Drosophila melanogaster: one gene and its partner. The protein of the gene in region 2 interacts with the protein of the main gene of each other region in a pairwise test. Each region holds a gene or a part of one and is shown on either strand. Other genes may lie near its edges.

Evidence for each region.
Region 1: the proteins of bb8 (region 2) and CG18404 interact in a two-hybrid assay, tested with the Drosophila melanogaster proteins (one large-scale study listed by BioGRID).

The regions. Positions count from the first base shown.
Region 1 is NT_033777.3:30,251,413-30,254,604, reverse strand, and holds CG18404 (uncharacterized protein), read right to left. Parts: upstream 1,424-3,192; 5' UTR 1,414-1,423; coding exon 1,180-1,413; intron 1,121-1,179; coding exon 1,013-1,120; intron 946-1,012; coding exon 886-945; intron 827-885; coding exon 794-826; intron 733-793; coding exon 646-732; intron 583-645; coding exon 562-582; 3' UTR 508-561; downstream 1-507. Other genes in the region: CG9682 (uncharacterized protein), read right to left, coding at 1,853-2,848, 2,927-2,989, 3,051-3,188.
Region 2 is NT_033777.3:23,287,671-23,292,133, reverse strand, and holds bb8 (big bubble 8), read left to right. Parts: upstream 1-1,944; 5' UTR 1,945-2,035; coding exon 2,036-2,417; intron 2,418-2,474; coding exon 2,475-3,067; intron 3,068-3,127; coding exon 3,128-3,535; intron 3,536-3,596; coding exon 3,597-3,821; 3' UTR 3,822-3,917; downstream 3,918-4,463. Other genes in the region: pnt (pointed), read left to right, coding at 1-417, 481-638, 706-769; wam (wampa), read left to right, coding at 4,242-4,463.

The DNA of each region.
Region 1 (3,192 bases), 7.0 Mb from region 2:
AGACATTTGCCGCTCGATAAAGTGACTTAATAGCAGGCCTCGAGGAGCAGGGAGCAGGGTCTTCCGGAGTTGGGGTACCACCATATTCCGTATGATTCCCATTCCCCTCGAGATGACCTAATTCGCTTCTGTTCGAGGAACAAAGGCAACCTAAATACTTGTCATAATAAAAATTATTCAAAAACCGGCATGTGTGCATGGCGCTTCCTCCTTCTACTGATGGATTTTATTCCATTTTTTTTTTTTTTTGGAAACTTGAGCCCCTAATGTTGTTGGCAATCACGTGTTCCGACTTCGATTCACCTCGTATCATTTGACCCCTCTTCCATTCTGAATACGAGTATATAACCCCCTTTGGAGATCGAGCTAGAAGCAGATGCACGCATTTCTGATTCTGGAATCCGACCTTGTTTACTCTTCTTGGATTTCAAAACAACCCAACACTAATTGATGCCCAACTTGTTGATGAACTCTGCCCAAAATGGGAGCACAAAAGACGCACTCACTAAGCTCTTTGCGCGATTGAATATTTATTTGTTAATTGAACTGCTCCAAAGTTCTTCAGAGGTTGGTGAGGGCATTCTGTGAGGGGGTATTACAATTCGTTACACATCAGATTAACAATTGTTCTTAAGGACCACTTACAGCCAGATCGCCTAGGCCAGCATTTAGCTGCTTTATATAAGGGGCAGCTGCATCTGCAGCAGCGGCAATAGTCTTCGCACTCACGGCCTGCAAATCAAGTTTAATTAGTATAACTCATATGGAAATCATGAGATTCGTCGAAGCTTACTCCTCCTTTGGCTATAATAGAAGCACCATTGGACTAAAAAAATGTAGAATATTTTATTAATTCAATATTATAAGTTTTAAAACTTCACATACCGAAAGACTGCGAGCCTGAGGTGCGTTCGTCATCTGAACACTAAGACTGGTAATGGCATTCTATGAGCAGAAAAGAATGAGCTTATTCTTGGAAGTTTCCAACGGACTTTCCAGATCTGTTACTTACAGCCAAATCTCCAAGACCAGTGCCCACTCCACCCAGAACATTGCCCAAGAGATTGGTGGCCTCGGGTTGCATATAATCGTTATCCACTCTTAAACTAGTAAGGGCGTTCTGCAAGAATATTAAATATTTTAGGTAAACATCAAACAAATATAAATACAGTAGAATACAGCCAGATCACCCAAGGCGTTTCCCATGTCGCTTAGAATGTTCAAAGTGGTTGGCTGGACAAAATCCGATTGAGAGCTGGCCACAGCGTTTTCCAGTTGATGGATGACCTTCTCCCCAGCAACAGCCACTTGGGACACATCTCCCATCAGGGACCCAATGCTGAGAGTTCCAGCTCTTGAATTTTGGACCATCAAAACGATGGTGAAAAGGGTTAGAATTGTAAAAGACTGCATGTTATTGCTTTTCGTAATATCAGAGAATTACTGAGTCCCTTCTATTAGCAACACTACATTTATAGGCAATTCTTATCGTTTGGCTTATGTGGGAGTTAACGACTTCTTTGACGCCGCCAATAATAACGAATCACACATGAGTGTTTCTTGATTCCCAACTGTTTGGCGGTAAGTTTCGATTCTGATTGATGGCTCATTTGATTTAGTTTCAGGGTTTTCCTTACGGTATCTATAAAGTGATTTAATCTATAAACGACAGTCTCAAGTAGGTCCTAGTCACAGAAAGCTAAAAATAAATCGACTGCAAGCGTTCAGAAGTCAAAACAGAAATGTAAATGGATTTTCTAGAGATTTAGTGCTTAAAGTATGACAAGTGTATGGGTCATTAATTTGCTCGTTCATTTATTAGGACAAATGAGTAGAAAAGTAGAGAGAAACTCTAAAATATGGAATGGAAAATGTTGCTTGCATCATGTGCAACATTTCCAGCAGCATTAGCTACATCTCCAGCTACGTTTCCAGCGGCATTTGCAACATCTCCAGCGACATTTCCAGCAGCATTTGCAACATCTCCAGCGACATTTCCAGCGGCATTTGCAACATCTCCAGCGACATTTCCAGCGGCATTTGCAACATCACCAGCAGCATTTGCTGCATCTCCAGCTACATTTCCAGCAGCATTAGCAACACTTCCAGCAACATTTCCAGCAGCACTTGCAACATCTCCAGCAGCATTTGATGCATTTCCAGCAACATTTCCGGCGGCATTTGCAACATCTCCGGCCGCATTTCCAGCTGCATGCGCAACATCTCCAGCAGCATTTGCTGCATCCCCAGCTACATTTCCAGCGGCATTTGCAACATCTCCAGCAGCATTTGCCGCACTTCCAGCGACACTTCCAGCAGCATTTGCAGCATCATGCGCAACATCTCCAGCAGCATTTGATGCATCTCCAGCGACATTTCCAGCAGCACTTCCAATATCACCTCCAACCTTGCCGGCGTCGTGGAAAATGTGTCCAGCATCACTTGCAACACTAGATGCAGCACCTGCAGCATCGTGGGCAATAGTGCCAGCAGCACCAGCAACACTCGAGGCCACATTTCCAGCAGCATTTGCTGCACTTCCAGCGACATTTCCAGCAGCATTTCCAATGTCACCTCCAACCTTGCCGGCGTCGTGGAAAATGTGTCCAGCATCACTTGCAACACTAGATGCAGCACCTGCAGCATCGTGGGCAATAGTGCCAGCAGCACCAGCAACACTCGAGGCCACATTTCCAGCACCGCCGGCTACATCATGAGCTGCCTTTCCGGCCGACTCTGCTACCTTATTTCCCACTTTGGAAGCAGCGCCATCGGTGGAACAGGTGCAAGCACAGGTAACCGAAGGATTCTCGTTGCTACTTGTTAAATCACGCTTACTGACAGATTTCTGCGAAGAACAAAAGTAACATTCGATTGTGGAATATGCACCTACATATTTATCATTGTAAAAGATATATGTACATACCTTACTGGATTGATTGGCAGATTGGCTTGCCATGGCTTTGAGTTCTGCACTGGCTGCCTCTTCCTACAAAGAATTGAAAAATATTTGAAGAATTTTAAATTGCTTCTGTTCTTGTTTAACTTACCGCTTCCTGGGACACTTGATGTCCAAAGTTAATAGCGCTATTGGAAACCTCCTGTCCCAACAAATTGCCCTCATCTCCCAATTCGTGACCAAAAATGCTGCCATCCATTCCAAGTTCCCAACCGGAGGAGGCATTTTCCTAC
Region 2 (4,463 bases):
AATGGCAGTGGAGGAGCCAGCGGTGGAAGCACCGGAAACAGCAACGGTTACTTGGACAGCAGCTCGGAGTTCTATGGCAGTTACGCGGGCAGGAATCGATTCCACGATGGTTATCCACCGGAATTTACGCCCTATGATGCTCAATCCTTCCAGTCGATGGGCCCCCAGCCCACGGCCATGGATCAGTGGGGAGCAGCCCATGCCCACCAGCATCCGGCAGCGTATATGAGCACCTTGGGTCTGGATAAGGGCCTGCTGGGTGGCTATACGACGCAGGGCGGAGTGCCGTGCTTCACGGGATCGGGTCCCATTCAACTGTGGCAATTCCTGCTCGAATTGCTGCTGGACAAGACGTGTCAGAGTTTCATTTCGTGGACCGGCGATGGCTGGGAGTTCAAGCTAACAGATCCTGATGAGGTAAATCCATTTGTAATATAACTATTATTGAATTCCTAACTAACATATATCTATTTTGATCAGGTGGCTCGTCGTTGGGGAATTCGCAAAAACAAACCGAAGATGAACTACGAGAAGCTGAGTCGCGGTCTGCGCTACTATTATGACAAAAACATCATCCACAAGACGGCAGGCAAACGATATGTCTACCGCTTTGTCTGTGATCTCCAGAATCTAGTTGGGTAAGTAGTCGACAGATTGAAGACGAATTATCGAATTCTTATTAAAAGCAATTAATTTCATTTACAGGCACACACCCGAGGAGCTGGTGGCCAAGTATGATCTTAAGATTGAGAAAAAAGATGTGGATTAGCAGCGGAGCAGCGGAGAAGCTGCCTAAAACGGGAACAGCTCCAGGAGATCTGCGCCCAGCCACGGATTGTACTCAACCAACCGCAAAATACTTTCGAGCGTTATTGTTTACCAAGCGTGATGTTAGCTTTTAAGCAGCTACCCCCGATCTGCGATCTTGCAACGAGATTAAAGTGTTGGCCAACCCCTAAGTACCCAAAGTCCTGACTCCCCCCCCCCCCACACACACAAAAAACACAAACAAAAAGAAAACCCCCCACCCACCAACCTGTCAAACCGATTTGCTTGTAATTACCGTGTAAAAATTAGACTTTTAAATTAATTTGAAATTAATTTAAAATACATCAGATTTAGTTGTAAGCCGATCTATAGCAAGAGAACCAGTTGAAGATAAACCGAATTAAATTTGAAATTCTGTGTGCAATGCGATGATATTTCTTCGTTCTCACATAGTCTGTAGAAGATGTCAGCTGCAAGGATCGAACGTTGATAGAGGCCATAAAGCATGTGTCCCCCAAAAGTGATATTAGAGCGCAACATTTTGTTATACGTACATAATCATTTTACCCGCACGGGGCACCACAAACATTTCAAAATCATGCATGTATATAGCGTTGAAGATGTGAATGGCATATAAGTAGGTCTCTAGTATTTATGTATGTCTAAATTGTAATCTGTGCTACTGGTACAACTAAGTTTTCCACTCCACAAAAAGCCCCTTTTATTTCTGTACTTCTGTGCGCTTCCGTGCGATCCCAAAAGTTTTAAACGTAAAACGGCACAATAGCTTATCATGTATGTACATATATGATGAGCCCTTGTTATCGTCTGCTATCTGTATACTTATAGGCTAATCCTAGATACATAGGATCCATAGTTTCCCTAGTGCGTTAATCGACAGTTCAAGAAGTGTTTATTACCTAGTATGTGTGTGTATAGCTATTAACTACTTAAGTCTAGCTCGTAGATGCATAGCCACGTATTACACCCATAAATATAACGTTATATTGATTACATAGATACACATACATTTGTAGAGCAATTCTAAAATATTGTATTTATACAAGCGTACATCGTAATATTAAAGCTAAAATTAACATTGCTAAGATAAAAACAATAAAAGAAAGCCAATATGAAAAAAATACAAACGAAATCTTAGTTCTCTTTGGAAAATATATCAAGGTGGTCAAAATATCAAGTATTTCTCTTATCAGTTGATTTTGTTCCAAATTCGAATTAACTTTATAGACGGTTGTGTTTTTTCAAAATGCTTCGTTATACGGCACGGATTTTGAATGGGATTTACCCACTTATGCCAAGGCAAGTATTAAAACGTTCCGCACACCAGGTGCCCGAGAAGCTGAAAAAAGTTGAGACGGACAAGGACCCGGAATTCTCGGAAATGGTTCTTTATTATTATCACAAGGCCGCGCAGACTATGGAGCCTGCATTGCTCAAGGAAATGGAAAAGTATCCGCATATGAAGCCGGAGGAGCGTCAGGCTCGTGTCACCGCTATACTGAATCTGCTTGGGAGCGTCTCCACCTCGGTGGAGGTTAATTTTCCCATTGTCCGCAAAAACGGCACCTACGAGATCATCAGCGGTTATCGTTCGCATCATGTACGCCATCGATTGCCTCTCAAGGGCGGTAAGTGTGGTTTTATCTCATCTATAGGCGTATTCTTAAGCATCGGATCTCCTACAGGAATCCGATACGCTCTGGACGTGAACGAGAGCGAAGTTAAAGCCCTTGCCGCCATTATGACGTTCAAGTGCGCTTGCGTGAATGTACCTTATGGTGGATCTAAGGGCGGCATTTGTATCGATCCCAAGAAGTATACAGTGGATGAGCTGCAGACGATCACACGGCGATACACGATGGAGTTGCTCAAGCGTAATATGATTGGTCCCGGCATCGATGTACCGGCGCCCGATGTGAACACTGGTCCGCGTGAGATGAGCTGGATTGTTGATCAGTACCAGAAGACATTTGGCTACAAGGATATCAATTCATCGGCTATTGTCACCGGGAAGCCCGTACACAACGGCGGCATTAATGGTCGACATTCGGCCACGGGCAGAGGCGTTTGGAAGGCGGGCGATCTCTTTCTGAAGGATAAGGAATGGATGGATCTGCTCAAGTGGAAGACGGGATGGAAGGACAAGACGGTCATAGTGCAGGGATTTGGCAATGTGGGCTCCTTTGCCGCTAAGTATGTGCACGAGGCGGGCGCCAAAGTCATCGGAATAAAAGAGTTTGATGTTTCTCTGGTTAATAAGGACGGCATAGATATTAATGTAAGTGGCTCTTCACATTTTCTAGGTAATTTTATGAAAAAAAAACCCATTACGTTATAGGATCTTTTTGAATACACTGAGGAAAAGAAGACTATTAAAGGATATCCAAAAGCTCAGGAGTCTAAGGAGGACTTGTTGGTAGCCGAAACCGATATCCTTATGCCGTGTGCCACCCAAAAAGTGATAACCACCGACAATGCCAAAGACATCAAGGCCAAGCTGATCCTGGAAGGCGCCAACGGGCCGACCACACCATCTGGCGAGAAAATCCTATTGGATAAGGGTGTCCTCCTAGTTCCCGATCTCTATTGCAATGCGGGCGGCGTAACAGTATCCTACTTTGAGTACCTCAAAAACATTAACCACGTGTCATATGGCAAAATGAACTCTAAATCTACATCCGAGCTTATTATCGAACTGATGAACTCCATCAATGAGTCTTTGCATGAATGCCCCGATAGTCAACTAGTATGTCCATCCTTACCCTTAAGTAGTATAGTATAGTAAATCCCTTACTTTTCTCCTTTAGCCGAACATATGTCCCAATAAGAAACTTAAGAGGATACAACAATGCACCACAGAGGCGGATATCGTGGACTCGGCTCTCCAAACAGTTATGGAATCTGCAGCACGTGGCATCAAGGAGATGGCCCACAAATTTGAATTGTGTAACGATCTGCGGAGGGCCGCCTACGTTTGGTCTTCATTCAAAATTTTCCAAGCCATGGAAAGCTCCGGAATTTCCCAACAGTAGTGGTTTACCCTCAAGAACAAAAGAAATTCACAGTTTTTCATTGGTTAATTTTTAATTCTTAAGTTGAATAAAAGAGTTACTATTTAATTAAAACATAAAATATGCCTAATTTAAATCAACTTACAACCTATATTGGCATAAATATTGGGCTTTGATACACTTGGTATGAATCTAGTTAAATATTTATCTATTTAAGTATGAAATATACGCCACATACGCCTTGACATACAATTCATATCTTATTTAGAGTTTAGACAGAGAGTTTAGAGTTTAGTGATTAGACAAACATATTGCAACTTTTTAAACACTACGAAAGCAAGCATACAAACACGAATATTCTGCTTGATTTTCGTTACTAAAGTCTCCACTTTTATAAGGTGGAACTCCGTTTTGGGTTAGCTACTGAAGAAAGCATTCACCATGGAGGAAATCAAGAAGTTTGACAAGCTTGCCTTCCTGGAAAGCTACCTGCTGAAGCACAAGGAATTGGGCAAGCGACAGCGCGAGTACAAGAAGATCCTGTCCAGCAAACTCAAGACCCGCAAGGAGACCATCATCGAGGCCAGCTTTGAGACGGCCATCGATCAGCTGGAGGAGGAGAAAAACGATCTGCGTGCCCAGATCTGGGTGGCCAGTGGTACG